4 linked regions of the Tamandua tetradactyla genome follow. The protein of the gene in region 2 purifies or fractionates together with the protein of the main gene of each other region. This does not show direct contact. Links are inferred from orthologs where the notes say so. Each region holds a gene or a part of one and is shown on either strand. Other genes may lie near its edges.

What was found.
Region 1: the proteins of EIF4E (region 2) and EIF3F purify together in Homo sapiens (affinity purification with mass spectrometry; 3 studies listed by BioGRID and IntAct, with this or other methods). This does not show direct contact. The link is inferred for Tamandua tetradactyla from reciprocal best matches to the Homo sapiens genes EIF4E and EIF3F.
Region 3: the proteins of EIF4E (region 2) and ANGEL1 purify together in Homo sapiens (affinity purification with mass spectrometry; 3 studies listed by BioGRID and IntAct, counting the BioPlex papers as one, with this or other methods). This does not show direct contact. The link is inferred for Tamandua tetradactyla from reciprocal best matches to the Homo sapiens genes EIF4E and ANGEL1.
Region 4: the proteins of EIF4E (region 2) and HHEX purify together in Homo sapiens (affinity purification with western blotting; 3 studies listed by BioGRID and IntAct, with this or other methods). This does not show direct contact. The link is inferred for Tamandua tetradactyla from reciprocal best matches to the Homo sapiens genes EIF4E and HHEX.

Annotation. Positions count from the first base shown.
Region 1 is NC_135334.1:82,118,183-82,125,923, forward strand, and holds the start of EIF3F (eukaryotic translation initiation factor 3 subunit F), read left to right. Parts: upstream 1-4,731; 5' UTR 4,732-4,767; coding exon 4,768-5,137; intron 5,138-5,441; exon of another isoform or gene 5,442-5,521; intron 5,522-7,741. UniProt on the Homo sapiens protein: Component of the eukaryotic translation initiation factor 3 (eIF-3) complex, which is required for several steps in the initiation of protein synthesis.
Region 2 is NC_135350.1:26,667,164-26,675,030, reverse strand, and holds the start of EIF4E (eukaryotic translation initiation factor 4E), read right to left. Parts: upstream 3,007-7,867; 5' UTR 2,950-3,006; intron 2,462-2,949; exon of another isoform or gene 2,427-2,461; intron 2,342-2,426; exon of another isoform or gene 1,444-2,341; 5' UTR 1,415-1,443; coding exon 1,397-1,414; intron 1-1,396. UniProt on the Homo sapiens protein: Acts in the cytoplasm to initiate and regulate protein synthesis and is required in the nucleus for export of a subset of mRNAs from the nucleus to the cytoplasm which promotes processes such as RNA capping, processing and splicing.
Region 3 is NC_135338.1:36,131,244-36,139,022, forward strand, and holds the start of ANGEL1 (protein angel homolog 1), read right to left. Parts: upstream 3,010-7,779; 5' UTR 2,988-3,009; coding exon 2,949-2,987; intron 1-2,948. Other genes in the region: LRRC74A (leucine-rich repeat-containing protein 74A), read left to right, coding at 5,925-5,961.
Region 4 is NC_135339.1:52,461,995-52,469,820, forward strand, and holds the start of HHEX (hematopoietically-expressed homeobox protein HHEX), read right to left. Parts: upstream 3,019-7,826; coding exon 2,652-3,018; intron 455-2,651; coding exon 276-454; intron 38-275; coding exon 1-37. UniProt on the Homo sapiens protein: Recognizes the DNA sequence 5'-ATTAA-3'. Transcriptional repressor. Activator of WNT-mediated transcription in conjunction with CTNNB1.

The sequences.
Region 1 (7,741 bases), on a different chromosome or scaffold from region 2:
AAAAGCAATAAATAAAGTTTGGTATGGGTTACAGTTCCACGATTTTTCATTTTTTCTTCTAGCTGCTCCAAGACACTGGAGACCAACAGAAATATCAATATAATGATTCATATTCATTTGTTAAATCCTATCTTCACTTTTATACTCCTCCTTCTCTTTAACTAACATACATTCATAAAAGCAATAAATTTCTAAGTACATCACAGCAATTAGTTGTAGAACAGATTTAGGAGTTTGGTATGGGCCACTAATTCCACAATTTTAGGTTTTTATTTCTTAGCTGCTGTAAGGTACTGGAGGCTAAAAGAAACATCAGTATAATGATTCAGCACTCATACTTGTTTGTTAAACCCAAACCATTTTAATTATTTTTAAGTATACAATTCATTGACATTAATCATATTTACAATATTTTGCTACTATCGTCATCATCCATTACCAAACTTTGTCATCACCCAAAAGAGAAACTCCATACCCTTTAAATAATAACCCCCCAGTCTCCCTCCACCCAGTCCCTGGTAACCTCTGATCTGTTTTCTGTCTCTATGAATTTGCTTATTCTTGACATGCCATAGAAGTGGAATCATTCAGTATTTGTCCTTTGTGTCTCAGTTATTTCACTTAGCATAATGTTTTCATGGTTCATCCATATTGTAGCATGTATCCATAGATAATTCCTTTTATGGCTAAATAATATTCCATTGTATGTGTATACAACGTTTTATTCATCCATTCATCTGTGGATAGACACTTGCATTGTTTCCACCTTTTGCCTGTCATAGATAATGTTACATGAACACTACTGTAAAGTATCTGTTTAAGTACCTGCTTTAAATGCTTTGGGGTATATACCAAGAAATGAAATTTCCAGGTCATGTAGTAAATCTAAATTTAACTCTTTTGAGGAACCACCAAACTGTCCTCCATGGTGGCTGCGCATTCCCATCAGCAATGCACAAAGGTTCCAATTTCTCCACATCCTCACACTTATTTTTCATGTTTTAAACTAATAATCACCCTAGTGTGTGTGGAGTGGTTCTCCTTAGCTATTTAAATGTTAGCATGTTCTAGGAGTCTTTTACTTTTCCTCCTAGAATCTCCCTCTTGGAAGGCTTACCAATTCCATGATTTTAACTCATTTCTAAGCGGATGACATACTGCTTCAAATAGTATGGCTGTGCAACAAGTCATCCCCAAACTTAGTGGCTTAAAACAATGACACACATATATTTTGCTCATGAATCTACAGTTTGGAGGCTGAGCAGAGATCGTTTGTCTCTGTTCTGATCCATATCTGCTGGGGCAGCTTCAAGCTGGGACTGGGAATTGGAAGGCTCACTCAGGCATAATTGTGGTGGTTGATGCTGGCTCTTGGATAACATCTCAGCTGGTGCTGTCACCCAGAGCTCCTACAGGAAGCCTCTTCATATGGCTTGGGCTTCCTCACAGCATGGTGACTGAGTTCCTAAAACGAATGTCCCAAGAGAGGAAACCAGGTGGAAGCTGTAACCTTTTTTAAACCTAGTTTGAGTCATATAAAATCACTTTCACCTTACTCTCTTGGTGAAAACCCGTCACAAGCCCCTGCCCAAATTCAACAGAAGTGTCTTAGTTTCTTAGAACAACTGTAACAAGGTACTACAAACTGGTTGACTTAAAAGAAGAAAAATGTATTGCCTCACAGTTCTGGGGGCTAGAAGTCTGAAATGTGAGGTGGAGAATCCTTCCTTAACTCTTCCTGGCTTCTGGTGCTTTGCTGGCAATTCATGGGCTTAAATCTCTGCCTCAGTTGTCACATGCCATTCCCCCTGTAGTATGTCTGTCTTATAAATGCATCAGTCATAAGAATTAAAGGCCCACCCTACTCCAATATCACCGCATTTTAACTTGCCTAATTCCATTTGTAATGACCTTATTTCTAGATAATGTCACATTTTGAGGTACTGGGGAATAGGAGTTCAACATAGCTTTTTGGAGGATGCAATTCAACCAGTAACAGGAAGGGAACAAAGACACCACCTCTCAGAAGGAAGAGTATTCAGATTTGGAAAAGTAACTGGCATTGCAAATAGTGTAGTGATCATTTCTGGAAAACACAGTCTGCCACATGTACAAGTCTATGTCATCAACACTGCTTTCTCCTAAATTCTGATCCTACATTACCAGTTTCCACCCAAATATTTTCATCAGAAGTTTCATCCCAACGTCATCTCCAAACTTAAATGTTCAACATTAACTTCATTCTTGCATTATCTGCTAAAGTAGGAGCTCTTTGATGGCAAGAACCATGTGGAATTAACCTATATACCCCTAATTTTGGTCTAAGTCCTGATATAGTGGGTGCTAAGTCAATATTTTCTGAAGGAAGGGATTTTCTCCAATAAACCTACTCTTCCCACGTTTTTCCCATTTAGGATAATGACCCCATCATTTTCCATGTCTCCCAGGCACGGAAACTTTTGACTCCTTCTCTCTATTCAATCAGATATCAAATTCGGTCAATCTTGCCTCCAAAATATCTTTCAAACTAGTCATACTCTTCTAAATCACAGCTGAAATTGCCATAGTTAAGGTCAGCAATATCTCCCCCTTGGCTACACTCCTTGCTGTACAAAGTACTGAGTGTTAGAAATGCAGAAACTTGGGTTCCACCCCAGACTTACTGAATAAGAATTTGCATTTTAGGCATATTATAATTTGAGAACCATCGTTAACAGTTTCCCCTACCTCTATCAAATGAATCTCACATTCAATGTATATCAGAACCACCTGGAGAGCTATATAGCCCACAGGAGCCCAATCTCTTGGAGTAAGAGCCTGGACCTGTGTATGGTTATCAAGTTCCACAGATGACTGTAATAAGAGACAAAGTTTAGGCACCATTTATCTAGTCACTAGTCTAGTCCACACCAATTAAATAAGCGTATTTGGAGGTTGAGCCCCAGCAATTTACCAGACAGCAGACCTAAGTATACAAGGACAACTAGAGAACCTTTCCAAAGTTTAAGTAAAGCGAAAATGTGACTTTATGAGGAAGCTTGCCTGGTTTTATTTCATTCTATTTCATCTTTATCTTCGACATTTTAGTACTGTCGGAACCAGAGGCCAGCCGTTCCACCTGTATTTGAGGGAATTAAAGAACCAAAGCACTGACGGGGGATTGTAGCAATCCTAATATTGAAAGGGAACTCCAAGATGAAAGCAGGTCCTGGCCAGAATAGTCAGGACTAAGAAGTCCATCCTCACCCACTCACCTTGCCAGTTCCCCTAACTTTATTAAGGTAGGTGATAGGATTCCTTTCAGGCAGATGTTATTATTCCCATTATACCAGGAAGGAAACCAAGGCTCAGAAAAAAATCATAGATTTCCCAAAGTCACACAGCAAGGATCAGAGCTCCTTCCATCATATAGTAATGATAACAGGAACTCCCTAATAATAAGTACTGTATATCAGGGATGTGCTAAGAGCTTTATGAAGCATTATCTCATTTAATCTTCTCCCAAAGCGTTGACTTGGACATCTAATGGACATCTCAACGGTGACACATCCAAAAATGAACTCAGGATTAATTTTTACTCCATTCATAGCTCTCACTATTTCAACTGATGGTGACTTCTTCCTACTAGTTCCTCAGCACAAAAACTTTCACACCTCACGTAAAATTTCTCAGAAAATTCTGTTGAAGCCACCCTCCATCCTCAAAATATATGCAGAAGATGGCCACATCTCGCCATTTACACTGCCCTAGTCCCAGACGCTATCATCGCCTAGTTACCTAGTAGCCTCCAAACAGGTCTCCCTGCTCCTCCTCGCCCACCTTCCTCTGTTCCCTCAGTATATCCTTATCGAAGTAGCCAGAGTGATCCTTCTAAAACTAAGACTGATCATGCATAACCCTTCCTTGCTCAAAACCCTGCCATGGTTCCCCACCACACTCAGACTAAAAGTCTAGGTATTTACTGTGGCCCACCAAGTCCTTAATGATCTGCCTCTACCCTCTGCTCAGAGGTTCACCTCCTGCGGCTGTCCCCCATGACCTTAACAACAAATGGCCTCCTTATACACGCCCTGCCCACGCCTGCTTACCGCCTTTGCCCCAGCTGTTTCCTCTACCTGGATGGCTCCTTCGTTAGATACTGGTTACCTCCCTCACCTCCTTCAAGTCTTCATTCGAATCTCATATTCTCATTATAATTTACCCTGCCCTCTCCAATCCTGATTTGCCCTCACCTTCCTCTACTTTTTCCTTTCACAGGACTTGTCACCTTCTAACATTATATGGTTTACTTATTGTCTTTTCCCACTCGAATGTAAGCCCTTCAAGGACAAGGATCTTTGTTCTGTTCACTTACATAGCCCAAGCGCATAAAAGAGCACCTGCCTCATATTAGGCACATGAATTTTGAATGAAGCCACTTATATACCCATTTTCCATTTAAATTCGTGAAAATACAAATGGTGAGCATTCGGTCGCGCTCTGGCGCCATCTGGCGACACCTACGCAGACTCAGTTGTTTCTCTTGACCCAGCGCTCTCCCAAGTTTCTTCGGAACTATTTAGCTTAGTTCTCACCGCGTGCGCATCGGACGGAAAGCAAATGAGCACGCACTCCGGAAGAAATCATAAACACCAGGAAATTTTAGTGCTTCGTGGACAGCATCAGGAGCCAATAGGCACAAAGATCTCGCTCACGTGATCCATATTCAGCCTATCGAGGTCCTAATTTTCTACAACGCAGTCCTTTCCTGTCTCTTTTCTCAACAAGATGGCCACGCCGGCTGCACCCGGGAGTTCTCCGCCTGCCACTCCACCTCCGGCGCCGGCTACTACCCCGGCACCAACCCCATCTGCAGCTTCGGCTCCCGCTGCGGCTCCGGCTCTAGCTCCAGCATCGGTCCCGGCCCCATCATCCGATCCGGCGGCGGCAGCAGCTACGACCACAGCCACGGGGCAGACCCCGGGCTCAACGCAAGCCCCGGCGCAGACTGCCGCGCCCGCGTTGCCTGGTCCGGCCCTCCCGGGGCCTTTCCCTGGCGGCCGCGTGGTCAGGCTGCACCCGGTCATTTTGGCCTCCATCGTGGACAGCTACGAGCGTCGCAACGAGGGCGCGGCCCGAGTTATCGGGACCTTGCTGGGTGAGTGATGAGAGGAAATTGAGATTGAATTCAATTTCTCTTGTCTACCACCGCCTATTTATCTCGCCCCCACTCAATTAACCCTTTTATCCCTGATGTCCTGCCTTCTTCATTCCCTGGCCTCTTGCCTCCCCCTCTTCTCACTACAATGACTTGACCTTTTGCTTCTCCGACCCACCTTTTTTCTGCTACTTATCTTCCCAGAGAGTTTGACTCTCTTTCCTGCCGGCTTGCTGTCACTTTGGGCGACAAATAATGAGTAGTTATCACTTACTGAATAAATATTGTGGGGCAGGTGGCTTACATTTTAACTGTCCAACAGTATTTCACTTCAGGTCTGATTAGCTCCAGTCTACCAGAAATGAGTTCAGTTGCCGATTCTAGGAAGCGGCTAGCTTGGAACTAGAACCCTGAGCGTAGTGACCGCGTTCTTCCGCCTTCCGGTAAATGTCTCTATCTTCTAGGTGTATACAAAGGAGTTGGCAAAAGAGCTGGACGTCTTTAAAAAGAGATCTGTCCCAACAAGTTAACCAATTTGGCTGGAATCCGTTTAAGATTTTATACTATTCTGCTTTCCTAAACTTCTGAGCTTGATCCTGTGTTCCTAAATTTCCAATAATACTAGTTCCTGAAGTGGTAGACCCTGTATCCCCGGTGCTGCCTTTAATCCTCCATTTGGACACAGACAGTTTTATTATTTGTGGGATGTTCGGCTTGAATCTTAAAACTGAAGAAGAATCTTTTCCCTGTCCATGTTTCACTTTTATTTGGGGAATAGGTATTTTTCTTTAAAGTAGTTTTAAAGAAGCGAAAAGCACCAAAGGGCAGAGAGGGATTGTTAATAATAAATCCTTTTCTCTGGGCCCCTCAGATACATTTCCACTCCATCTAGTTGTGCGTTTTAGACATCTTTGTGTGTCCACACCCCCATCTCATGGATCATTTCTTTTTCTTACTCTTAGACATGTCCTTACACTCTAGAAGATAATTGGTGTATTACAAATAGGACAAAATTTATAACTAGACTCCACATATTAGCCATGTGCCTTGGGGAAAATTACCTAGCTTTTTTCAGTGGCTACTTCAGACTTAGTCTTTCTGAGAACTAAATTATTACAGAAGTCACCTAACAGTGCTGGCACACATTAGATATGAAGCAGCAGTTAGTTACTGTCTTCTACCTGGTCAGGCCTATACGCATTCTCTTTTTCTCTCTCTCTCTCTTTGAGGGTACAACGATTGTATTTACAGGAACTACTTGATCCGTTACCTGTCAAACATTGCCATGACTTTTCTTAATCTAAGCTTCTGCATTCTATTTGCCACAAATGTCTTCCCTGTTCTGCCTCATCTTTTTTCTTTTTCTTTTTTATATTTCTTTATTTTGAGTGCCACCCATCTTCGAGGTTCCTAGGGAAAATGTCCAGTATCAATCCTCCATCCTATACCCCACCCTCATCTCAGTAGTAATCCCACTGAGTCTCATAGCATTCTGGAACTGTACCCTGCTCTATAACAAATGATTTTTCCATCACTGACTTGACACTTGACAGATACTTACTCTTTTAGCTATATTGTAAAATTTTCAGAACTCAATAGCGAATAGTTCTCCACCCAAGATTTATGCTTAGTGTCTCATATATTACAGTGACCCTAATTAGACCAGCTGTAATCTAGATTCTCAGATCCTATTTCAACCTGGGATTATAGGTATAGTACTATGTGTTACAGGAATAATGCTTATTGATAATTGACGCATAGATTCTGCCTGCTAGAAACTTACGGTTTTCTCAGGTAGGTTGTAAATAATGCATGAAACATATTTCATTTCGTTAAATGAAGTCACCTATGCTTCTTAAATACCAGAAACTGTTAGATACTTAGAATTTAAAATTGAGAAAATAAACCTTATACACGAGATGGAGATACTCTTATATATAAGTAATTAGAATATAATGTGATTATATATAAGTAATTAGAATATAATTTGATAAATGTTCCAGTAGAAAGGTATTCAAAGTGACGTGGAAGTCCATAAAACTATTTTGGAAGTTTGGGGAAAGCATCACAAAAAAGATGACATTTGAGCTGGGCATTAAAGCAGATGCAGGAAGTATAAAAAGTTCCACTAGCTGAGTGGTTCAGCATTAGAGGAATATAGAAGAAAAGATATACGACAGGAAATGAAGCTAGTGAGGTGTAGAGTCATAAGAGATATTAAATAATTACAAGTGTGCAAAGTGCTGTGAAGAAGGTTAGGAAATTATGGAAAGACAAAATGGCACCCTCATTAGGTTTGGGGGTACGTGGGGGAAGAACACCTTAACTGTGGCATTTCAGCTAAGACTAAATAGGAATTGATGATTCTGCCTGCTGTTTGTAGAGTGGATAACAGAGAAATAGGTTATTTGTGGACACCAGATAGAAGCTATTTTAATAATTTGGAAGTGGGGATGGAGAGGAGTGAGTGAGTTGATAGGACATGGTATGAATCAGAAATGAGGGATTAAAAAGAAAGTTTCAAGGATGACTTCTAGGTCTCTGATTGGGTGTGGAAGAGATGGGGGGAAATGTAAGGGTTGATTCAGTTTGGAACTTTTTGCA
Region 2 (7,867 bases):
TTTTGAGGTAGTTATAAAGTCAAAACAACTTAGCGAACCATATCAAAATCACAAACTACCTTCATAGATTTATAAAAGTATCTGGCAACCAAGGCCTAGAACTGGTTCGAAACTGAGTGTCAATTGTTTTCTGGTTGCTAATGCCCCAAAATGTTGTCACTTAGGTGTCACATTCATGAAATGTCAGCTTGGACTCAGAAGCTTCGCTGGGCATGTGCCGGCAAACCCAAACTATGACAAAGATAATCACTCCTTTGAGGGGTAACTATCAACTCTCTGTCTCAGGATCTGCTCGGTTCAATTAAATTTAAAATGGTGCCTAAATTGAAAGGAAAGCCTAAAGAATGGGTAAATTAAGAACAGAATCAAATGGAAAATTTAATTTCCTGTAAGTTGTCTTAGAAATCTTCGATAATAAAGAGTAGAAAAAAACACACGGATCTAGGGCCATTCGCATTCGCTCAGGCGTGCGCATTGCACGAAAAGGATGAATGAATGGAAGGCAGGCGCGTGTGAAAGGCAGCAGGTCCCGCCGGCAATCAGACCAGCCGCAGCGATCTGTAGGCCTTGCTCCTCCCCCTTCCCTCCTCCATGACAGCCGAGACTTAAGCACTGAGGGGCGAGGACAATGTGAGCCCCCTTCTCACCACCTCCACCCCTCATTCCATCCGTAGGGCTTCACAGCACGACGCGGGGCTTTCCTCCCCACGCACACCTTTCTCTACTGCCTCGACGCCAAACTCGGCACTCTCTGGCGCGCTGAAGCAACATGCGCTCACCGCTCTCAGCTTCCCCCAGCGAGGTCGAAGATCCCCGCGCGTGCGAAGGCACCACTCCCGCCCACCCCTCCACCGACAACACGCGCCCCCTGGCTCCCCAGCCCACCCGTCTACGGAAGGAAAACTCTCGCACGTGCCCCATACCCGAGCCCCTGGGGAGGAACTCGGGAGGGAGGAAAAGGCTGGCCGGAGCTCCCTCCTCCATCACGTTCCAGGCCGGTTCTTCGCCCACCCTCCCTACAGATTCTGGCGCCCGCCCTAAGCCAGCCCCGCGCCCTCCTATTCGAAAGAAACAGTATCCACACACCTAGCCCAGGGTCCGGAACACCCTCTACCCCTGCAGACAACTCGCGGCTCCGCAAGAGGCACCGCGCCGCCCCTCCCCCGTTTTTCTTCCCCAGTTCCCCGGCCCCCACTAGAACGTGTGAGCGACACGCTGCCGCGGCCAGCCTCCGGGGCGCCCCCAGTTACCGGCGGGCAGGTTAAGCCCAAGAGGAGGGGGAGGGGGTGGTAAAGGGTAGCGTGCGCGCCGGGAACGACATCCCGCGGGGTCCCCCTGTCCGAAGGGAGCCAGAGCGCGGGGACCTGTGGGGGTGGGGGCCAAAAGCGATACTCACCGGTTCCACAGTCGCCATCTTAGATCGATCTGATCGCACAACCGCTCCTGAAGGGGAGGGGGGGGTGAGAGGAAAAAAATTAAATTCAAACCGGATTGGCTGGCTACTGCCACGTGACAGACGTGTCCGTTTGGCCCTGGCGGCGCCTGCGCAAGACTGCGGCTGCGTGAGTATCGAGAGGCTTCTGGGAAGTGGAGTCTCCTTTTTTTTTTTTTTTTTAAGGGCAAAGAAGTTTTTTAAAAAAAAAGTCTGGTCACGTGGTCGATGGATAGGGTGCGCAGTTTTCCGCGCGGCTGACACTCTCTTGCCGGAGGGTGGTTTTCAGTCCTCTGCTCTTCCGCCTGGATGTCTGCAGTCGCACTTACTGCCCGGCATGCCTACTGTGCCCTTCGTCGCCCTATCCTCCCATCTTCCCCTGTAGGCTGGGAACTGCAGGCTCAGCACGCACAATAAGGCTTCATTTGCTTAGTTGGAAGTCCTAGGACAAGTAGCCTATGTATTTATTTAGCTTTCTTTTGACTTCCCACCACCATTTTCTCTTTTAGTTTCAAAAAGAGACGGTGATGGACGGAGAATCTGTGTTTAAGCAATCGATCCTCCCCCGTCCCCCAGCTCTGCTATTGCCGGTGGTCACTCATGGCCTTCGTTGCGAGAGGAGTTGGACTGAACCGCCCACAGTACCCACTTGCCACCGTTGGGGGTGAGGGGGAGTGGACCCGAATGCGTTTTCTGACCCAAATCCTGAGATTAAACCTCTGGGCCAAAACTTGCTTGGAAGTAAAACTTATTTGGCAGCTCTGTCCTCTCGGTTCCACTATCCTCCTTTAAAGTGAACGGAAATAACCTAAGTCCAGGTGCCAGCCAGGGAAGCCACTCTGGGCCCCGCTGACTAAGCCCTGGACTGACCGTCAGGAGTCGTTAGGCCGGGTCAACTATGACTCTTGACGTTGACTCATTCTCCTTAGGCGAGTGACTTAATCATTCAGTACCTCGGTTTTTTCATTTATGAGCCACGGGTTCATACACTTACCTCACAAGGGTGTGCTGTGGTAATGACAGTAACCTGCTTTGAAAATGCATTGGACACTATAAATGTTTCGTAGGCAACTGCGTGCCTTTAAGGATCAGCTGTTTCTCTGCTGTTGTTTAAAACCATGTTTTTATTTTTACTTTTGTATACTTTGTTACATTATGATGTACATCAGTGCAACTTTAAAATTTCCAGACTTTTTTTCTATATAATTGTCGCTACCTTCATTAGAGGCGTTAATGTTCAGGAAAATACTGCGATGTTCACAGCAGTCACTGCCAATTACGAATTTGTCCCCACACTAGCATCATACTTTTCGTTTCCCTCTAAGGTATTGTGCTAGCAAGCTGTCATTTCTCAAGACAGCCTTATCCTGCACAGCCGGGTTACTAACACACACACACAAATCTAGTAATATGCTAATATAAGGTTCTAATAAGGAAGATGCTATCTCATCATTGTTTCCCATGCTTAAGAATGGTAACCCCAGAAAAATTAGTACAAGCAGGCTGCCTGTGCCTACCTGCTTATTGTGCTGCCGATGTCCAAAGCTGTGTCACACCTATTATTGAGTACATAATGGATGCTTGGGTTGACTAACACATAATTGAGGTTGAACAAAAACTCAGTCATTGCATGTTAGTATGTTTGGTTTGCCTGGATGTCAGAGATGACCAGGTACACTTTTGTCTAGCTCTAGTAGATTCTAAAATACTTAGAATTCTAAAAAATGAAAGTAAATGGATTTCTCCTTACAGAGATTATGTACTGTTACTTAAACTATTCAAAGTGATTACAGTTGATGTCGGTGTTTTCTGTTGGTTAAAAGTAGTATCTGATTATCTTCTTTGAATAGATAGCTTAGATGTGCTATTTTTGCAATGATGCTAGATAACAGAGTAAAGAATCAAGGAAATAGGCAAGGAAATATCCACATGGCACAGAAAGCCATGATGTTCTTTAAAAACGTTTTTACGCTTTTTTTCTTTCTTTTTTTAACGTGGGCAGGCACCGGAAGCGGACCCGCGTCTCCAGCATGGCGGGCGAAAACTCTGCCACTGCACCACCATTGCCCTAAAAATGTTTTTAACAATGGCTTACATAAATTTTTATCTTGATCACAAAACTCTCCGCTCTTGTCAGTCATCCTAGTACTTTTATAATACTTATGTATGCTATCAGAGCTTCATTTCACTCCCTTTTACACATGCCTTGTTGCGTATGTTTTATGGAAACTTCATGTGTCTTTCCTTAATTATTGTCATTATGTTCTGCCATGTCAAAGATTTGGTGATTAGGTCTTTATTTTGTTTTGTTTTTTTTGTTTTTGTATGCTGTATGGTGGGGATCACATCTTATTCTTTTTCCATGTGAGTATCCCCTTCTTGCAGCGCCATTTGTTGAATTTTTCTTTGTTGGCTTTTCCTTTGTTTGCTTGCTTGCTTGTTTGAGAAGTACATGGGCCAGGAATTGAACCTGGGTCTCCGGCATGGCAGTGGAGAATTCTACCACTGAACCACACTTGCACCCCCTGGTGATTAGGTTTTTATGTGTGTATGTGGTTATTTTGTTTTGTTTTGTTTCCAATTTGAAATATACATAGAAGACGGCTTATATACTTTATTCCTCTATTAAACCACACAAATAGATTGTATTTGTTACCTTACTACCACATCCCTTATCTTTATGGAAAAGAATGGTTAATGAAAAGTTTAATTTATGAAATAGGGTAAGGTATTGAAGTTCTCTTCTCTTTGATCAAGCTATCTAGTTTATAGGTAACTACCTTTGACTCATCATAATATCATGGTACTTCCTATTTATAAGTCTGGGATGATTGATTATCATCTTTAAATATAAAGCACTTTTCTCAACTTAATATATTCCTCACACTGGTATATTGTCTTTATAGATTAACTCATGGGACATGATTTTAAATAATTTGACAAAACATATAACTTGTTTTTATTATGTAATTACCTCTTTGCCATTCTAATGTTGATTAGATCTGGCAGATAACCAAAGTCATTGTTTTGCTGGGCTTTTCTACCATGTTCAAATTGATCTGATCTGCTATGATATATTTCTAAACAATATTGCTATTGTGCTAGCCATGATTTTTTTTTTAAGACAGTCTTTGAAATTTTAGATATTGTTTAGGTTAGGGGACTTTGTCTCTGATCAGTTTTAAGCAACCCTTTTTTCTTAAGATGAGAGGATTTTGAGACAGAAGATGTGAGATTGCGTAATAAGGTAAGTGATCTATAGTAGCTTAATGTTTGGCCAGAGTTTTAGATATAATCTAAAACAATCCCTAGTCAATACTAATCTGATATCCTTTCTTTTTTAACCTTGTTCAGACTTTTTTGTTGTTGTTCATTCTTTTGTTAAAACTTGGATATACTTGTACTTGATGTCATACTCTATTTTTGTACAGTATTTTTGTTATTTTCACTTTCTACAGTGATTTTCTTTTAGAAAAGCTCTAAGATGATGGCCTGTAATAAAATAAATATCCTTTAACTTATAATTGTATAGTTTAGTGGTTAACAACATAAGTTTAGTATCAAACTATCTCAGTTCGTAACCCCAAGTCCACCACTTAGCATGTGACTGTGAGCAGGTTACTTAGACTCTCTGTGCCTCATGTTTGTCATGTATTAGATGGGCATAATAATTTATGTTGTGTGGCTAATGTGAAAAATAAATGAGTTAATCCACGCAGTGGGCTTAGAATGGTTCTTAGAACATAGTACGATGTTCATTCAATTTTACCTATCATTAGGTATTAACATAGATTCTTATCTCTACTTTTTACTACAGTGGAGTATTTTTAAGAATTCTTTTCTCAGAGAACCAAACTCAGCCCAGTATTTTTGAAGATACTCCAAACTTCCAAATATTCGAAGTCAACTAACATTTATTGATCTCCTATAACATACCAAGTATCTTCCATATTAATTACTTCATTTGACCTTTATAACAATTACATGAATTAAATATCATCATCCCCGTTTTATGGATAAACAGACTCAGTAAAGTTGTCCGAGTCCACATTAGCCAAAGAGTAAACTGGAATTCAAGCCCAATCTCTCCAAGATTCGCTTTTTCCTCATACCATAGCTACTTCCCTCTGATAGGACCTCCCAAATTCTTGTTTCTCCTCAAATGATTTCTAATTCTAAGTTCATTTTCAGAAATGACAGGAAACTATTTAAGAAGTACTGAAGTACTCATGGCAAATATGTAGTAACCAAAGGATATTTAAAGGACACAGGAAGCAGGCACTTCCCTCCTGAACTGTAAAATTTGGTTGGCATATAAGTCATAGAAATATAAATAGTTCTGTCACCATATAAAGACGTGTGACTAAGAGCCAAAATGATGCAGCAAACAAGCACCATAACAAGCACCCATTCACATATTGAGACATTCTCATATTTTCTCACCTAGTTTCGTTTGGGTTTCTGTTCACATACCATCTCCTGAGCAAAGCTTTTCCTTGGCCGCCTTTATCTAAATTAGCATCCCTGGCACTCTCTGTCCCCTTACCTGGCTTTATATTTCTTCAGAAATATAGAATCCTTCAAAATTCTGGTGACAAACCTGATATTATATTAAATATCAATTCATTGTTGGTGGTCTCCACTACTAAAATATTAGCTTCTTGGTGATTGTAGGTAGATTGCAAATAAATATTTGGGAAAAACACAAATCTTATCAAACTAAGGTCAAGCCTCAGGACTAATAATTAATAGGAAAATTGCTTTAGTCAGGCACTATTCTAAGCATTTACATGCATTTATGGTACTTCATTTTGTCTTCAAAACAACACTCAAATGTGAGTGTTCTAATTTTTCAGATAAGGAGAACAAGGCTTAGAAAGGTTAAAAAAACTTGCTCAAGACCACTCAACTAGTAAAAGGAGAACCAGATTATGAACACAGTTCTTTCTTCAGGGCTCTCAATCATTATGTAACATTAACTAGATTGTAATTGGATAGCCTAATAAAGATCAATGTCTGAAATAATAGAGTAATTAATTATCATCAAAGAGAATGTGAAAAATTAATGTAAGTATATGTTTGGACCAATGATAAAGGACTTCCAAAATGAATTCATTTACCTTATTAAAATCAAAATTAAGAAAAAAATTGAAATGTGTAAGATAAGATCACTCATCTTTAGAAATAAGCCACAAGATTGTAAACACCCAAAATTCATTAGAGATTGGGTGTTACTCCAGGGAGTCACGACTGGATTTCGATTGCTACATAGATGAGTAAGTGCCTGTGTTGTGCTTTTGTTTAAAGAAAGAAATGTGTTAATGAGTGGGAGTTGGCCTGCTTACCATCCATAAAAGAGGAATCCAGAATGACTATATTTGATGATGTATCTCTAGAATCGTTGAGGGGGCAGAGTGTGAATTTCTCATCCATCGATCCTTATTTGAGGTGGTTGTTTGAGGACACCAATCATTAAAGCCATATTACTAATTCACCTCATTTTATTGCAGACTCACCAAGCAACCATATGATAAATGTATCTTCCCACCATTTTTTAAAAACTTTTTGTTGTATATACAAATCAAAATTTCCCATTTTAACCATTTTCAAAACTACAATTTGGTGGTATTAATTACATTCACAATATAGTACTACCATCATCAACATCCATTGCAGCAACTTCTCCATGACCACAAACTGAAACGCTGCCCTCATTAAGCAATAAAAACTCTTTGCCCTCTGTGCCAGTTTGAAAGGATTATAACCCAATAAAAGCCATATTTTAATCCTGATCCATTTTGTGGAGACAGCCGCTTCTTTTAATCCCTATTCAGCACTGTAGGTTGGGAACTTGAATAGATTATTTTCACTGAGATGTGATGCACTGAATTGTGGGTATTAACCTTTAATTAGAAGGAGATGTAACTCTAACCATTCCAGGGGGGGTCTTGATTACTTTACTGGAATCCTTTAAAAGAGGAAATATTTTGGAAAAAGCTTCAGAGAGCCACAGAACCTTGAGAGCCTACGCGGCCAGAGACCTTTGGAGATGAAGAAGGAATATGCTCCTGGAGGAGCTTCATGAAACAAGAAGACTGGAGAGAAGGCTAGCAGATGCTGTCATGTTCGCCATGTACCTTTCCAGTTGAGAGAGAAACCCTGAACTTCATTGGCCTTTCTTGAGTGAAGGTAACCTCTTGAAGGTAACCTCTTGTTTGGACATTTTCATGGCTTTAGAGCTATAAACTTGCAACTTAATAAATTCCCCCTTTTTAAAAGCCATTCCATTTCTGGTATATCGCATTCCAGTGGCGTGTAAACTAGAACACCCCCCATCCCCCAATCTGGTTATCTACTATCTGTCTCTATAAATTTGCTTATTCTAGGTATTTCATTTCAACAAAATCATACAATATTTGTCTTTTTGTTTCTGTT
Region 3 (7,779 bases), on a different chromosome or scaffold from region 2:
AAAATATTCTGAGAAAGAAAAACAAAGTTGGAGATCTCACGCTACCTGACTTTAAGGCATATTATGAAGCCACAGTGGTCAAAACAGCATGGTACTGGCATAAAAATAGATATACTGACCAACAGAATCGAATAGAGTATTCAGATGTAGACCCTCTCATCTATGGACAATTGATCTTTGATACAGCAGTCAAGCCAACTCTCCTGGGACAGAACAGTCTCTTCAATAAATGGTGCCTAAAAATCCCCTTGGAGGAATGGTGAGAAAGGGGGAAAATTCAACTTCCCCAAGTGGAGAATTCTTGATATTCTCACAAGCAGTGGGGACAACCAAAGCAATAGTCTGTGCCCCCAATCTTGGGGTTTGTTCATATGAAGCTTAACCCTGCAAAGAATAAGCTAAGCCTACTTAAAATTAGCCCTAAGAGTCATCCCCAAGAACAGTGACAAAGGAGGAAAATTCAGCTTCTCAAAGTTGAATTCTTGATATTCCCACAAACAAGTTGGAACAACCAAAGCAACAGGCTGAGCCCCCAATCTTGGGACGTGTTCATATGAAACTTAACCCCAAAAAGGATAGGTCAAGCCTACTTAAAATTAGGCCTAAGAGTCACCCCCAAGAGAACCTCTTTTGTTGCTCAAATGTGGCCTCTTTCTCCAGCCAAACAACAACAAAACTCACCGCCCTCCCCCTGTCTATGTGGGACATGACTCCCAGAGGTGTGGACCTTCCTGGCAATGTGGGACAGAAATCCTAGAATGAGCTGAGACTCAGCATCAAGGTATTGAGAAAACCTTCTCAACCAAAAGAGGGAAGAGTGAAATGAGACAAAATAAAGTGTCAATGGCTGAGAGATTCCAAACAGAGTCAAGAGGTTATCCTGGAGGTTATTCTTACGCATTAAATAGATATCACCTTGTTAGTCAAGATGTAATGGAGAGGCTGGAGGAAACTGCCTGAAAATGCATAGCTGTGTTCCAGTAGCCATGTTTCTTGAAGATGATTGTATAATGATATAGCTTTCACAATGGACTGTGTGATTGTGAAAACCTTGTGTCTGATGCTCCTTTTATCTACCTTATCAACAGACGAGTAAAACATATGGAATAAAAATAAATAATACAGGGAACAAATGTTAAAATAAGTTTAGATTGAAATGCTAGTGATCAATGAAAGGTGAATGGGATGTATGATCAATGAAAGGGAGGGGTAAGGGGTATGGTATGTATGAACTTTTTTCTGTTTTCCTTTTATTTCTTTTTCTGAATAGATGCAAATATTCCAAGAAATGATCCTGATGATGAATATGCAACTATGTGATGATATTGTGAATAACTGATTATATATGTAGAATGGAATGATCAAAAGTTAAGAATGTTTGTGCTTGGTGTTTTTTGGTACTTTTTAAAAAATTAAAAAAATAGTCACCCCCAAGAAAACCTGTCATTGCTCAGATGTGGCCTCTCTCAGCCAACACAACAAGCAAACTCACTGCCCTCCTCCTCTCTACATGGGACATGACTCCCAGGAGTGTGGACCTTCCTGGTAACGTGGGACAGAAATACTGGAATGAGCTGAGACTCAGCATCAAGGGATTGAGAAAACCTTCTCAACCAAAAGGGGGAAGAACAAAATGAGGCAAGATTAAGTGTCAATGGCTGAGAGATTCCAAACAGAGCTGAGAGGTTATCCTGGAGGTTATTCTTATGCATTGAATAGATATCACCTGTTTAGTTAAGGTGTAATAGAGAGGCTTAAGGGAACTGCCTGAAAATGTAGAGCTGTGTTCCAGTAGCCATATTTCTTGAAGATGATTGTATAATGTAATAACTTTCGCAATGTGACTGTGTGTTTGTGAATATCTTGTGTCTGATGCTCCTTTTATCTACCTTATAGACAGACGAGTAAAACATATGGATTAAAAATAAATAAATAATAGGGGGAACAAATGTTAAAATTAAAAATTAAAAATTTTTTTCTTAATGGCAAAATGTTAAAGGAGCATAGGAGCCAACACAAAAGAGCTCCCAAGGACCACTGTTGGAACCTGGACAACAAAATAAATAAAAATAGTTTGTCAAATATCAGTGAGTCCCTACTGATATAAACAATTGAATAAATAAACGAAAAAGAGGGAAGACTCTCTCATAGACAAATTCCAATTAATAAATGCAGAAGAATTGTGAGAAATAGAAAACATCCTGAGAACACCACAATAGTAATTGCTGAGGCAAGACCCAATGATGGATGCTAAAATTAGTGAATGAAAGTTTAAGCAGAAATAAAGATACATAATCTTAAAATATCCCTCCCCTCCCCCACCAAACATTTATTAAATACAAGATGAAAAACAGCGTCTTTATAGTGGGTAAACCTGGCTGACATCACCCTGACCAAGTGATGAATTCTAATATATATCAAGATTTTATGCCCTAGAGAAAGGGAAAATAGTCAACTTCCCCATTTGGAGAATTTCTGACATTCTCTCAAGCAGTGGGGACAACCAAATCAATAGGCTGAGCCCTGAATCTTGGGGTTCACCCCAATGAAACTTTATTCCTGCAAAGGATAGGCTAAGCTTACTTAAAATTAGGCCCAAGAGTCACCCCTACAGAACCTGTTTTGTTGCTCATATGTGGCCTCACTTTCTAAGCTGATCCATCAACTGAACTCACTGCCCTCCCACACTTATGTGGTACATGACTCCCAGGGGTGTAAATCTCTTTGGCAAAGCGGGACAGAAATCCCGGGATGAGTGGGAACCTGGCATCAAGAGATTGAGAAAACCTTCTTGACTAAAAGGGAGAAGAGAGAAATGAGACAAAATAAAGTTTCAATGGCTGAGAGATTTCAAACAGAGTCGAGGGGTTATCCTGGAGGTTATTCTATGCATTATATAGAAATCCCTTTTTAGTTTATAGTATACTGAAGTGACTAAAGGTAAGTACCTGAAACTGTAGAGCTGTGTTCCAGTAGCCTTGTTTCATGAAGATGATTGTATAATGATACAGCTTTTACAATGTGACTGTATGATTGTGAAAACCCTGTGTCTGATGCTTCGTTTATCTAAAGTATGGATAGATGAGTAAAAAATATGCATAAAAATAAATAATAGGGGGACAAAGGTTAAAATAAACTGGGTAGATGGGAATACTAGTGGTCAATTACAGGGAAGGGTATGGGGTATGCTATGTATGAGTTTTTTCTTTTTTATTTCTTTTTCTGGAGTGATGCAAATGTTCAGAAAATGATCATGATGATAAATACATAACTATGTGATGATATTTTGAGCTATTGACTGTACATCATGTATGAAATGTTTGTATGTTAAGTTTTATCAATAAAAATATTTAAAAAAAAAAAGATTTTATGCCCCTAATATGATGCCCTGAAAAGAGTACATCATGTCTGTGGTATACTTCCCCATAACACAATCTCAAGCCCAAGATGAGGGACATTCTACAAAATACCTGACCAGTAATCTTCCAAGGTGTTAATGTCATGAAAGACACATTGAGGAGATCTCACAGATTGAGTAGACTATGGATATGTGATTTAAATGTGGGACCCTAGATTGGATGCTGGAACAAAAAGTGGACATTAGTGTAAAAGCTGGTAAAAGACAAATGAAGTCTGTAGTTCAGTTAATAATATTGTATCAGTGTCAATTTCTTAGTTTTGATCATTATTCTATTGTTATGTACGATGTTAACATAAGGGTAAGCTGGGTAAAGGTATACAGGAATTCTCTGCTATTTTTGTAATTCTTCCGAAAGTCTAAAATTATTTTAAAAAACAAAGTTTAATTCAAAAAATGAAGAAATTAAACAATTCAGCAATGAAGAAATTAAAATAATATATTGCCAGTTTACATTTTTTGGTTCCTGTTTTTTAATTTGAAAAAAAGATTTGTTTCCTAAATGATGGTTTTTGAACATTTTCTTCCAGAATTGACGCATGTGCAAAAATTCTAAAAATAGCTCTGCTTAATGGATCCCTATTGCTTTTTTGTTGCTGGCATGGGCAGGCACCGGGAGTCCAACCTGGGTCTCCAACATCCTATTGCCTTTTGATTGCATTTGAAACTGTCCCTGAGTTTGCTCTGGCCCTCATGGACTTCCCTCTCCCCATTCTCCTTCATACCCTGCACTCTCCAAAACCCACCTTGACTTCTTATGACTCTGCTGCCTTCCTTCATCCCAAAAATGCCTTTCCCCCAGACTCTACTTATCTACATGGATGCTCCCCAGCAGGGAGAAGCCTCATTCTCCCCTGCACTCCCAGAACTTCTCCCTCATTACCTTTATCAATGTCCAATATCGATCGCAGTCCCAGGCAACAGTGCCTCTGGCAGCAGCTCTTTGAAGTGACTTCCTCCAAATTTTCTAACTCACCCCTCTGTAGCTGGGACCAGAAGAAGCCAACAGTGCCATCAGGCAGAGTAGCTGGAGCCTAAACCAAGACCCCCATGTTCCTTGGTCTCTTTTACTCCCCCTAAAGTTTCTCTCTCATCCTCTACACCAGCATGGGGTTGACCAGATGCTCTGAGGATCTCCAGGATTCTGTTTATGGAGTCATTTTAGGAATTGATAACTCCTTCTGTCTGTCCAGTGTTTCTTTTTGAAGGGCCACATGAGATTGGGCTGCCAGAATGGTGTTGCCACTCTAATCTGGGGTGACTCAAATTGTTTATATGAGCAGAGGTTCTGCCAAAATTATTCACCCAGGCAGGGCCCTCAAACCCTGTTGATTTCTAACTTATATTGTACATAAGGGACAATGTCTTAGTCATGTTTGCATCCCCCTCATTGTGCCTTGCGTAGTGTTTTGCAACGAGTAATATCTCAGATTTACAAATTTCTTTCCATCCATGTTTCTAACTATGTTTTCTCTACACGATTTCCCAAACTTCATCATTCTTCTGAGTGCAAGAAGGGATTTTTATGTCCCCAAGCCCTCCAGTCACTGACCTGACCATTGATGTGTTGAAAGTTTATCAAGAAGGGACAAACACGCCTCCGGATTCTCTTGGCAGTAAACTGCAACTAAACTTCAGCTCCAAGACATGTGAAAATGGCTAAGCGTGGGAACGATGGCTGAGTGGTTTCAAGTTAGGCAGTCCAGTAGTTGGATTGAACAATGATTTGGCTGCAAGAAAACTGTAGTGATAAACATATGTTTGTAGTGCTTTGCTTTTGATATTCTCTAAAGTTGAGGGCACTCTCCCAAGAGGGGACGAAAAAAGGCAGAAGAACTGGGTTGGAGAAACCTGACTTCACCCATCACTGAAATACCTCGTACCTGAAGCACAGCCACCTTGAGAGAAGAACATGGTGGCAGCTCTTCACAATCACCAGATTAAGGGGCTTGGGTTTGGTCCTGACTCAGAGGGAAATACAACACCACCGAGAGGCCTCCCTACAGCACCTGAGCACTCGCAGCCAAGCCTGAGCTTGGCCCCAGTGAACATATGAGAAAAGATGACTGCCAGAGTCACCAAGAGGGTGGGAGGCCTGCTGTTGCCAGGTCTACCCACGTAGATCACAATGACTGCATGAGGTCATGGAATGTTGAAGATGAAATGAAAGTAGCTCTGAAGTCACAAAGTCGCAGGTGGGTCAGCATCCTTTTGACAGGACTCCCAGTAATAGAGCTGTACTACTTTCCCTGATGAGTAGAAGAAGTAGCCTCCTCTCCCAAACAGAGTTGGGGCCAAATCCATGCATGTCCCATTCCTTCCAAAGCCCACTCTCCCCAGGGCTTGCTGGGTTGGAAGGATAACTATAATCCTTCCTGGAATTTGCCTGTGCAAGGGCAGGATGTACAAACTTTAAGCCAGAGATGAATGGGCAGGTGTGCTTCTCAGAGTAGCAGCAAAAAAGTGGCAAGAACCTGGCAGCAGCTCCTGAGAGGTCCCTGGCGCCATGGATGATGACGAACCTCCTGAGACTGAGATTAAAGGTGAAAAGGCATCCAATGTCTCACCATTAGGCCCTTGGGGGCTGCCTCAGTATAACACCCCATGATCACAGGGACTCCGGAGTCTCCATCTTTCCTTGCCTAGGACCCGCTAGAATTGGGGTGATGTGTCCATTGACTCAGGTTCAAGGCCTGCAAACAGGTAGTGAGAGTTGGATGCAGTAATTTCTTGGAACTGGCTCATACTGGCTCTAAGTGACTTTAATTCTCATTTTGTGCAGTGGTTGACATCACATTGGTAGCTTGAAATCAGACATTTTGGGAATATTTACACCACATAAATTGGCTAGCATTACGAATCAGGATTTTTTCATGGGAGCCTGATGTTAAACATTTACCAGCACTCTACTGCTCAGATGGAATTCCAGAATCATTTAACTAGTGAGGAAATTAAGATTTACTTTCCTAAGGGCACACAAAAGTTCCAGGGTTGAGCTGGAAGGAGAATACATATCTTCTGTCAGGATACTCCTACTTCCACCTCATATCACATGGACCTTGTTTCTCAGACTGGAAATGTTGGGGCTTGGTCAGTGGCAAAGACTGAGAAAGACACAGTCCTGCAATGACACATCAGAAACCCACCATCCTAGAACCTGGATGGTCAAAACATAGGACCCCTACCACTAAAGCTCACCCCATCCAAAGTGTAGGGTGGCTAAGCTCTGACAGGCCATCTGGTCACATGGTATGGCTTCCCCCAAAACATCCAATCTTGCTGATGCAGACAGATTGAGCTCTGGATCTCATGCTTAGCTTTCAGGAATCCCTGTCTGGTTCAGGATCATTGGTCCAGGAGTGGAAACATCACATCTGGCAAGGCCAGGGGGCTGTTGCTCTCACCAACCTCTCATCAAATAGGACTGTGGGAGAACCACATGTATTTAATGCTAGCAATTAATTTCAACCCATGGGAGATTTTGCAAGCTCCTCTTCCTGCTCAGAAATTAAATTTTGGATTGGAAGGAAGAGAAGCTAAGTCAAACTCTTAGGAATCAATTTACCCCTCTTGCACCCTTGAACTACTCCTGTTCCATTTAGGTTTACATTGGACCCATGAGGCCCCTGCCTAGCTCCTAGCCCTCCCCACCCCCATTCTTTGTCCTTGACAATGAGGACAGGTAGGCATCTAGATACATCCTTTCACCTGAAAGAATAACAGCAAACTCTGGAACTCAGCCAACCAAATAAGAAGGGTCAATAGTGAGCTAAGATAGACGTGGCCTCTCTCTCGGCCAACATGACAAGCAAACTAACTGCTCTCCCCTTCTCTACGTGGGACATGACTCCCAGGGGTATAAACCTTCCTGGCAGAAATCCTAGACTGAGCTGGAATTTAGCATCAAGGGATTGAGAAAACCTTCTTGACCAAAAGGGGGAAGAGTGAAATGAGACGAAGTGTCAATGGCTGAGAGATTCCAAACAGAGTCAAGAAGTTATCCTGGAGGTTATTCTTACTCATTAAATAGATATCACCTTGTTAGTCAAGATGTAATGGAGAAGCTGGAAGGAAGTGCCTGAAAATGTAGAGCTGTGTTCCAGTAGCCATGTTTCTTGAAGATGATTGTATAATGATATAGCATTTGCAATGTGACTGTGTGATTGTGAAAACCTTGTGTGTGATGCTCCTTTTATTTACGGTATGGACAGATGAGTAAAATATGTGGATTAAAAATAAATAAATATTGGGGGGAACAAATATTAAAACAAATTTAGTAGATTGAAATGCTAGTGATGAATGAAAGGGAGTGATAAGGGGTATAGAAAAAATAGGGGGGAAAAGACTAAAATATATTGGGT
Region 4 (7,826 bases), on a different chromosome or scaffold from region 2:
TCCATTTAGCACGTCGATTCTGAAACCAGGTTTTGACCTACAGGAAAGAAAGAGGGAAAACTTGCCACTGACCCAGAAATCTGAGGGACTGGGGGAGAAGGGCAGAAGAGGATTAGAGGCGGTGGAGCAGACCCACCCTGCCAGCCCTCCAGGCGTTTAGGCAGACCGTCGGGATGAGTCAGAGCGCACCGTGGTGGCTCCGCGTGGTACTCCAGACCCGCGGCGACCCGCACCCCAGGAGCCTCCTTCCAGAGAAGGTCCTACAGGGTGCTCACCTGCCTCTCGCTCAGCTGTAGCATCTTAGCCAGACGCTTCCTCTCGGGCGGAGAGAGGTATTTCTGGTTCTCAAATTTCTTCTCCAGTTCGATGGTCTGGTCGTTGGAGAACCTCACCTGGCCGCCTTTCCTTTTATGCAGCGGCCTTTGTAAGAAGGGGCTCCAGAGCAGGGGTTTGCCTGGGGACAGGAAGAGCTGCGGTTAACAGCGGCCCTGGCGCTCCCTGCAGACCCCAGAACTATCTAGCCTGGAGGGGGTTGGGGGTGGGGGTAAGGGGTGGCAGAAAGGGGGAGGAGATGCAGGAGGACACCCAGCCAGTCATGTCTACATACACCCACAGCATACACATGAACCCAACTCGCTTCCGCCAATACACATGAATATCCACATACACACACACAAATACAAACACCTAGACTGTGTATGCACATAATCTACCCAAAGTGACAGACCTACATTGCATACGCACATAGTCCGTGCAGTATACTCACAGACACTCACATACAACCATCGCACCTAAGCTAGACACAAACACACAAATCTTTTAACACCCTAAAGAACACCCACTACTGTTGACCTTCTTTCACCAGTCACACTGAAATTTATTCACAAAACTTTTTGCATCCTCGGATCCTCTCCCTTGGTGAGCAGCACGTTCCAAATTCCCGGTGTGCGCGTGTTGGGAAGGAGTGGGCTGTTACACTACCCTAGGCACTGGTGGCCCGGGGTCGGTCGCCTGAGACTCCTGGGACCACGAGACTTGGCTGTGCGCGCGGGGCCGGGGCGGGGTCGGGTGGGATGGGGGCTCTCAAGCCAGGCGCCCGCGTTAGGCCATGCGAGGTTCCTCCAATCCTGGCCCGAGGGAGCCGCGGCATCCTCTGATTTTACGCTCAGTCCGCGGGGATGGCCAGTTAAAGCCACCCCGTGGGTTACGGCAACATTTCCGTCAATGTGTTTCCTGTTGGTCTATCTCGAAAAACCCTTTGCTTCCTCCTGCGCAGCCCCAGCAGTAACCCAAGGAAACCCAGAGCGCGCTCTGTGCAATCGTTCGCCCTCCAGGCCCAGCCCAGCTGACTGTCCCGGTCCGGAGCTGCCGCACCAAACCTTGAGGCTCGAATCAAAATTACAATATAATAACTTAAGAAGAAAACCCCCTAAAATATAATCCCCTGAAAATTTTTCTGAAGTTGAGAGAGAAGGTGGAAGACGGAGCTACAGGCCGCGCCATAATAAAAATGGCATTATTAAATTAACGTGAATTATCCCCAGGGTCGCTACTGAAGCTGCCAATAACACAGAGTTGATTTTAAACCCTAAGTAAGGCCAGTTGCCCAGTTTCCTTATCCGTCCCCAGAGCTTCAGACCCCAAGGACCAGTCTGGGGCGCGGAACTGGGCAGCCTCTTTGCTTAAGGAACTGAGGGAAACAAACCCCGCAAATTCTATATGGCCAACGTGCCCGCGCTGCCCTTCCTATCTTGGCCCGGGGATTGCAGCTTCCTACTCCAAAGGTCTGTCCGTCAGTGCGTCAGTCCGTCTGTCTGCCGGTTTGCCGCTAACCACTTTGAAAGCTGGCATTGTTTTTTCGAGATTTTGCTTGCGTCAGGCTTCAGACTGGTGCAAAACAGCCTCGGGGGAAAAAAAGGAAGCAACTGGTTATTTTAGCTGCCATAAAGTCACATCCCACACGGAGGAAATGAACAATATCAGAAAAACGGATCCCGGCTATCAGAAGTCGAGTGTTTCCTGAATTTGTCTGTATTGAGGATGTCGATAAAATAATCAGCAGCGTGCACTACTCCGGGGGAAGGGTCTGCTTCATGCAGCCAGGAAAACACTTAACAGCTTCTGAAACCAGATTTACTCCTATCGAGAACTCAAGATTTCCTGTATGAACGTAAAGGGTCAGGCTCTTTCACTGCACAAGCTTGTTGAACCAGGTCCAGTCCCGTAACCAACCGGGCCTGGCAGCTATCTCTGTCCCTCAGGGACCGACCCGGGGCGCCTCAGCAACCCCTTTTCGGTCCCTCTCACAAAGGGAGCCCCACCCGGGGCGACACGCGCGGCTCGGGGTTATGCTCTGCCGCCCGCCCTGTCAGCAGAGCCCGAGGTCTCGCCTCGGCCGCGCGCCCCGACGCCTGCAAGGTGCAGGAAAACCAATCTGAGTCATCGTGCGGTCAGTCCCGGCCGCGCGCTACCCGGGCCTTCGCCTCCACTTGCCGCGCGCACCGGAGAGCCGCTTTTCAATCGCTTTTGCTACAACTTTCTATTGCCTACCCCCCTCCGTCCCCGCCGCCTCCCGGGCGCTGCCACCTGCCGGGTGGCGCCTTCCTCGCCGCCGCCCCAGCTCGGCCCCGCCGTGACCCCGGCCGCCTTACCCAGGGGGTCGTGGCGGAGCAAGGCGTGCGTATAGTCGTTCACGGTCCGCGGGAAGGGGTACAGAGGGCCCCCGAAGCCGCCGGGTGCGTAGGCGGCGGCCAGCGCGGCGGCAGAGTGGTGCGAGAAGGCTGGGTGAATCGGCGTGGGCTCGTACACCGGGGTCCGGTAGGAGGACACGAGGCTGGTGAAGGAGGAGTTGGGGGACGGCAAGGTGGGGGTGGGGGTGGGCGCTGCGGGCCCGCGGCCCAGGATGTCCTCGATGTAGAACGGCGTCGGGTGCGCCGGCTGCAGCAGCGGTGTGGGCGCGTACAGCGGCACCCCTACGGCGCCCGCTGCCGCCGCCGGCCCGGGGTGAGGGTACTGCATGGCTCCGCTGCGCTGCGGCCCCTCCGCGAGCTGCCCGCCGGCGCCGCGGCGCTACATTTATCCACGCTAGCCGCTCCCGGCGATAGGCTCCGCCGACCGCGGGGTGGGGCCGCGCTAACTGGCCCCTTCCTGCCGCCGGGCCCCGCGGCCAATGGCGCGGGGCCCCGGGAGCAGCCTCCCGCCCACCCCTGGCCCGCCCCCGCTGGCCGAGCTCTCCGCCCTAGGGGCGCGCCCGCTCTCGGGCTCCTTGGACCCTGAGTCCAGGTACCTAGCTGCTGCCACCGCTTCTCAGGGCTCCTAACACCCCTGCCCGGGTCGCCCTAGAGGGAAACCCGGGGCTCACTCCCGTCGAGGGAGGTAGGAGATAAGCAGCTGGCTAGAGCGCGGACTCAAACGGCCCTGACCCTCGCTGGAAGGTTCGTCCGCCTCAACTCTGGCGCTCTGACCCAGGCCCTGGCCCAGGGTGACGACAGCGATCCCCCGGCGGGCCCCACGAGACGGGCAGCCGGAGTTGGGCCCAGCGGGTATAGAGGCCAATGACAGGGCTGCGCCGTCGCAGGCCTAGAAGTAGGCTTCCCGAACGGCGCGCACCCTGGAGTAAGTGTGGCACTGGCTGTTGTCCCCGGCGCCTCCGGAGCTCTTAGCTGGAGCGTGTGCCCAGGATTCCTGGGGTTGCTCCAGAAAGAGCCTTGACTCTTAGTTCTGTCCCAGCGGGCTAAGATGACTAGATTTAAAGTGCTCCGGGCCCTTGGCAGTTCCGGCCTGTTTTATTTGGGAGCCCCGGACTCAGCTGGAAGCTAGCAGTAGATCCCCCGGCCAGGAATCAGGAGAGGCCTGGGTCTTCTGAGCCGCAGAGACACTTCAGTCTTCTCTGACTAGATGAGAGCTGCTCCTTGTCTCCTCTCCCACAGACTTGGGTGACCACAGCTGTGCACAGCCCCCCTCCCCGTTTTGCACGTGTTTTCCATTGAAGCTGTGATGCTGGCCCACGTGGCTTTGACTCTGTGAGGTTCTACTCGCCTCCGGGGCAGGGGGGCATTTACTTGATTGAAGCCCTCCTGCAGTCGCCACACCTAGCGGTGAGCAGTTTCTGCTATGGTCCCCTCCCAACCTTCATTAATAGTAGAAATGGAAAGATTTTCCAGCTTTTTCCCATGAGAAGGCTTTTATTTACATATTAGAACTAATTCTCTGGTTGCAGTGGGACTGTAGTAGAAAGAAGAGTTGCCTTGAAGGCTGGATTGCCTGGGTTCGAGTTTCACCCCCTGCATTTTTGTTGAGTACCTACTGTGGGCAGGCGAGAAACGAAACAAATGTATTCCCTGCCCTTACGGAGGCGCTAAATAAATCTTGACACGGTGGCTTACGTATGTGCTAGGAAGGAGCATTACAAAGTGTACTGAAACCTTATTAAAAAACTAAATTTGGGGAGGGGGTGTTAAGGTAGAGAAAGTTTTCCCCAAGAAAGTGAAGTTTGAAAGCTGAGTAGACATGGAGCCTAACGAAGAAAGAAAATTCCAATTCCAGAGATTATTTGAGGCAGTCATCCTCCCTGAGCTTTAGTTTTCTTATCTGCAACATTTGGGACATGGCCTAATGCTTCCGAATCTTTTTGTGGTGGGGTCCTTCAGAATCTGAGGACAGATAAGAACTACAAGGGCAGACAAGCTCAGTAAGTGTAATATGTTATCATTTGGGTGAAAAAGTTGGGATTGGGTAAGAATGTATGTGTGCCTTTGCTCTATATATAAACTGTCTCTGGAGGAATACACGAAAATTAATAATATTGGTTGTCTACAGAGGAGGAGTGAACTAGGAGGGATAATATGCTATATGTCTTTTGAATATGTGGATATGTGACCTCTTCAGAATATAAGTCCTTGGAGAAGTGGCTGATTCTAGATCTGAAATAGGAAAAGTACAAGGTGAGCCCGAGTTATCTTGTGCCAGAGTTATTTTATGCCACAAACCACAGAAAGAATAAAGAGATCACCCTGAAGGGGCTTCCTGTGTCCAAATGTGGGGTGATTTAAGTTTCAAAAGCACATTATGGATTATAAAACACTGACTATAATAATGCCTGAGTCCATAGTGATACTCAAAGAGAAAGAAAGGGGTAGTGCATGGGAAAGCTGGGAGAATGCCAGATGTAGAAAAATGATAAAATATGAAAATTCATTCAGGAAAAAAAATCATCATTGAACACCAAAACCATTGGATGAAATTTTGTGAGGCTAAGGATATTCACAGTCATATAGTATTACCCCAACAGCTTAGTTATTTAGTACGAAAAGGGAAGTGAGCCTTTACAATGCAGAGATCTGGCCAACACCACCTTAACCAAGTGATCAAACCTAGTGTCACCATTGCTGGGACAATCTGTTAAGTGCCTCCTGACAGGAAGTAGTAAGAGATACACACCAGAAACTGTGTGATAGTCCACCAAAAATGTTTGCCCTGAATTTAATCATGAGAAAACAGTTAGACAAATAAAAAATGAAGCTATTATATTAATGAAATGGTCCTTCTTTAAATGTCTATGAAATGAAAACTAGTAAAAAAAAAAAGTGAGACTTAGAAGTTAAAGGAGAACAAAAAGACACAACCAAATGTAATTCATGAAACTCGATTGGATTTGGTATCTTTTTAAGCTATAAAAGACATTTTGAGAGAATAGCACGGAAATCTGAATAGGAATTGAATTTTAGATGACATTATTAAATTAATGTTAATTGTCAGTGTGATACTGGTATTGTAAATTATATCAGAATTTGGTTGAATGGTATACATTTGCTCATTGAACTGTAGTTTCAGCTTTTCTGTAGATATGAATTTTTTCAGCATAAAAACTGGGAAATATAAATATGATTTTACATAAAGTAAAAAGCACTATTTCCTCATTTTAAAAAGGGGAAATTTATTTAAGTTATTTGTTAAGTCTGCATACATTTTCACGTGAACATTTGTGCTGGTTTGAAATGATGTATGTACCCTAGAAAAGCCATATTTTAACCCTAATCCCATTTTGTAAAGGCAGCAGTTTCTTCTAATCCCTATTCACAACTGTATGCTTGAAACTGTAATTAGATCATCCCCCTGGAGATGTGATTTAATCAAGAGTGGTTGTTAAGCTGGATTAGCTGGACACATGTCTCCACCCATTTGGGTGGGTCTTGATTAGTTTACTGGAATCCTATAAAAGAGGAGACATTTTGGAGAAAGAGATTCAGAGAGAGGAGAGCAGAACGACATAGCCACAAGAAGCAGAGTCCACTAGCCAGCGACTTTTGGAGATAAAGAAGGAAAATGCCTCCCGGTGAGCTTCATGAAACAGGAAGCTAGGAGAAAAAGCTAACAGATGATTCCATGTTCACCATGGGCCCTTCCAGATGAGAGAGGAACCCTGATTGTGTTCACCATGTGCCATTCCACTTGAGAGAGAAACCCTAAACTTCATTGGCCTTCTTGAATCAAGGTATCTTTCCCTGGATGCCTTAGACTGGGCATTTCTATAGACTTGCTTTTACTGGGACATTTTCTCAGCCTTAGAACTGTAAACTAGCAACCTATTAAATTCCCCCTTTTAAAAGCCATTCCGTTTCTGGTATATTTCATTCCAGCAGCTGGCAAACTAGAACAGCATTAAACCTGGAAACAACCCTTTGAGGAGAGCTGTTTGAGAATTATTTGTTGGAGTTGAAAGGCTATTCTGGAAGCTACTCTTATACAAACTTCAGCTAGGTATTACTATTTGCCATGGTTTGCCAATCCCCAACAAACAGCATTCCCGTTAATCCTAACAAATACCTAGGGCTCTAAGTCAAGTCATACTTAAGTCAAACAAGTTTCATGCACTATGTTTACTCTGAAACCTATAACTTTCAGAGTTTCCTAGGCCAGATAAGTCCTGAAACCTAGAGGAGCCAGCCTCTCTAGAACATCAACTAATTTCATTCTCCTATTCTGTATTGTTGACACCCCTTTTCAACATGAAAAAGTTAGAATAGTTATAGTCCAAAGACCCCTATAGATTAGGTGTAGGATCAAGGGAGAAGGAGGAGTTAGAGAAGAGAGGATTTAAAAAATGAGTATGATTGCTGAATCACTATAATGATATTTCTTTTAGCTTTCAGGGTTTTGGAGCAGCTAGAACAAAAAACCTGAAAATGTGGAATGGTAACCTATACCAAACTTTGAAATCTATTCTGTAACTAGTTGTTAAAATGCACTTTGGAAATTATTGCTTTTTTTGTTTGTTTTGGTATATATGTTCTATTTCACAATTTTAAAAAATTATAAGAAGAGAACTATTTTTCCCTCTGTGGTCTGGACTGATGTTGTATCTACTCCCCCAGTCATAATTCTTGTCATATGTTCTGATGAAGAACTCAGTCAGGTGCTAAGAGGCTATAAAAAAAAAAAGTCTGCTCTTCTATGTTCCAAGGACAAAGACAGGCTTTGGGTACTAAAAAAAGATAGTTGTAATTATCTGAAACCCAAATGTGCCTTCAGAAGATATGTTTGGGTCTTGAAAGATTAAGCAATCAGAGAACTAAACAGACAACTGGATATTATTTTCTTATAAAATGTTTCCCCCTCATCTTTGATTTTCTTCTTCCTATCCCCTTCCAATTAGTGAATAACTAAGATGATTACTCCCTCTGCTTACTGCTTTTACAGTAAATTGCTAGTTGGCCTTCATTCTCCATCTTCAAAATAAAAAACAATGGGGTTATGGTACTATGTTTATTCTGTGGGTAATTCAGCCACCAGCCAAAAAGAGTTAAATCTACAAATCTTCGAAAAAT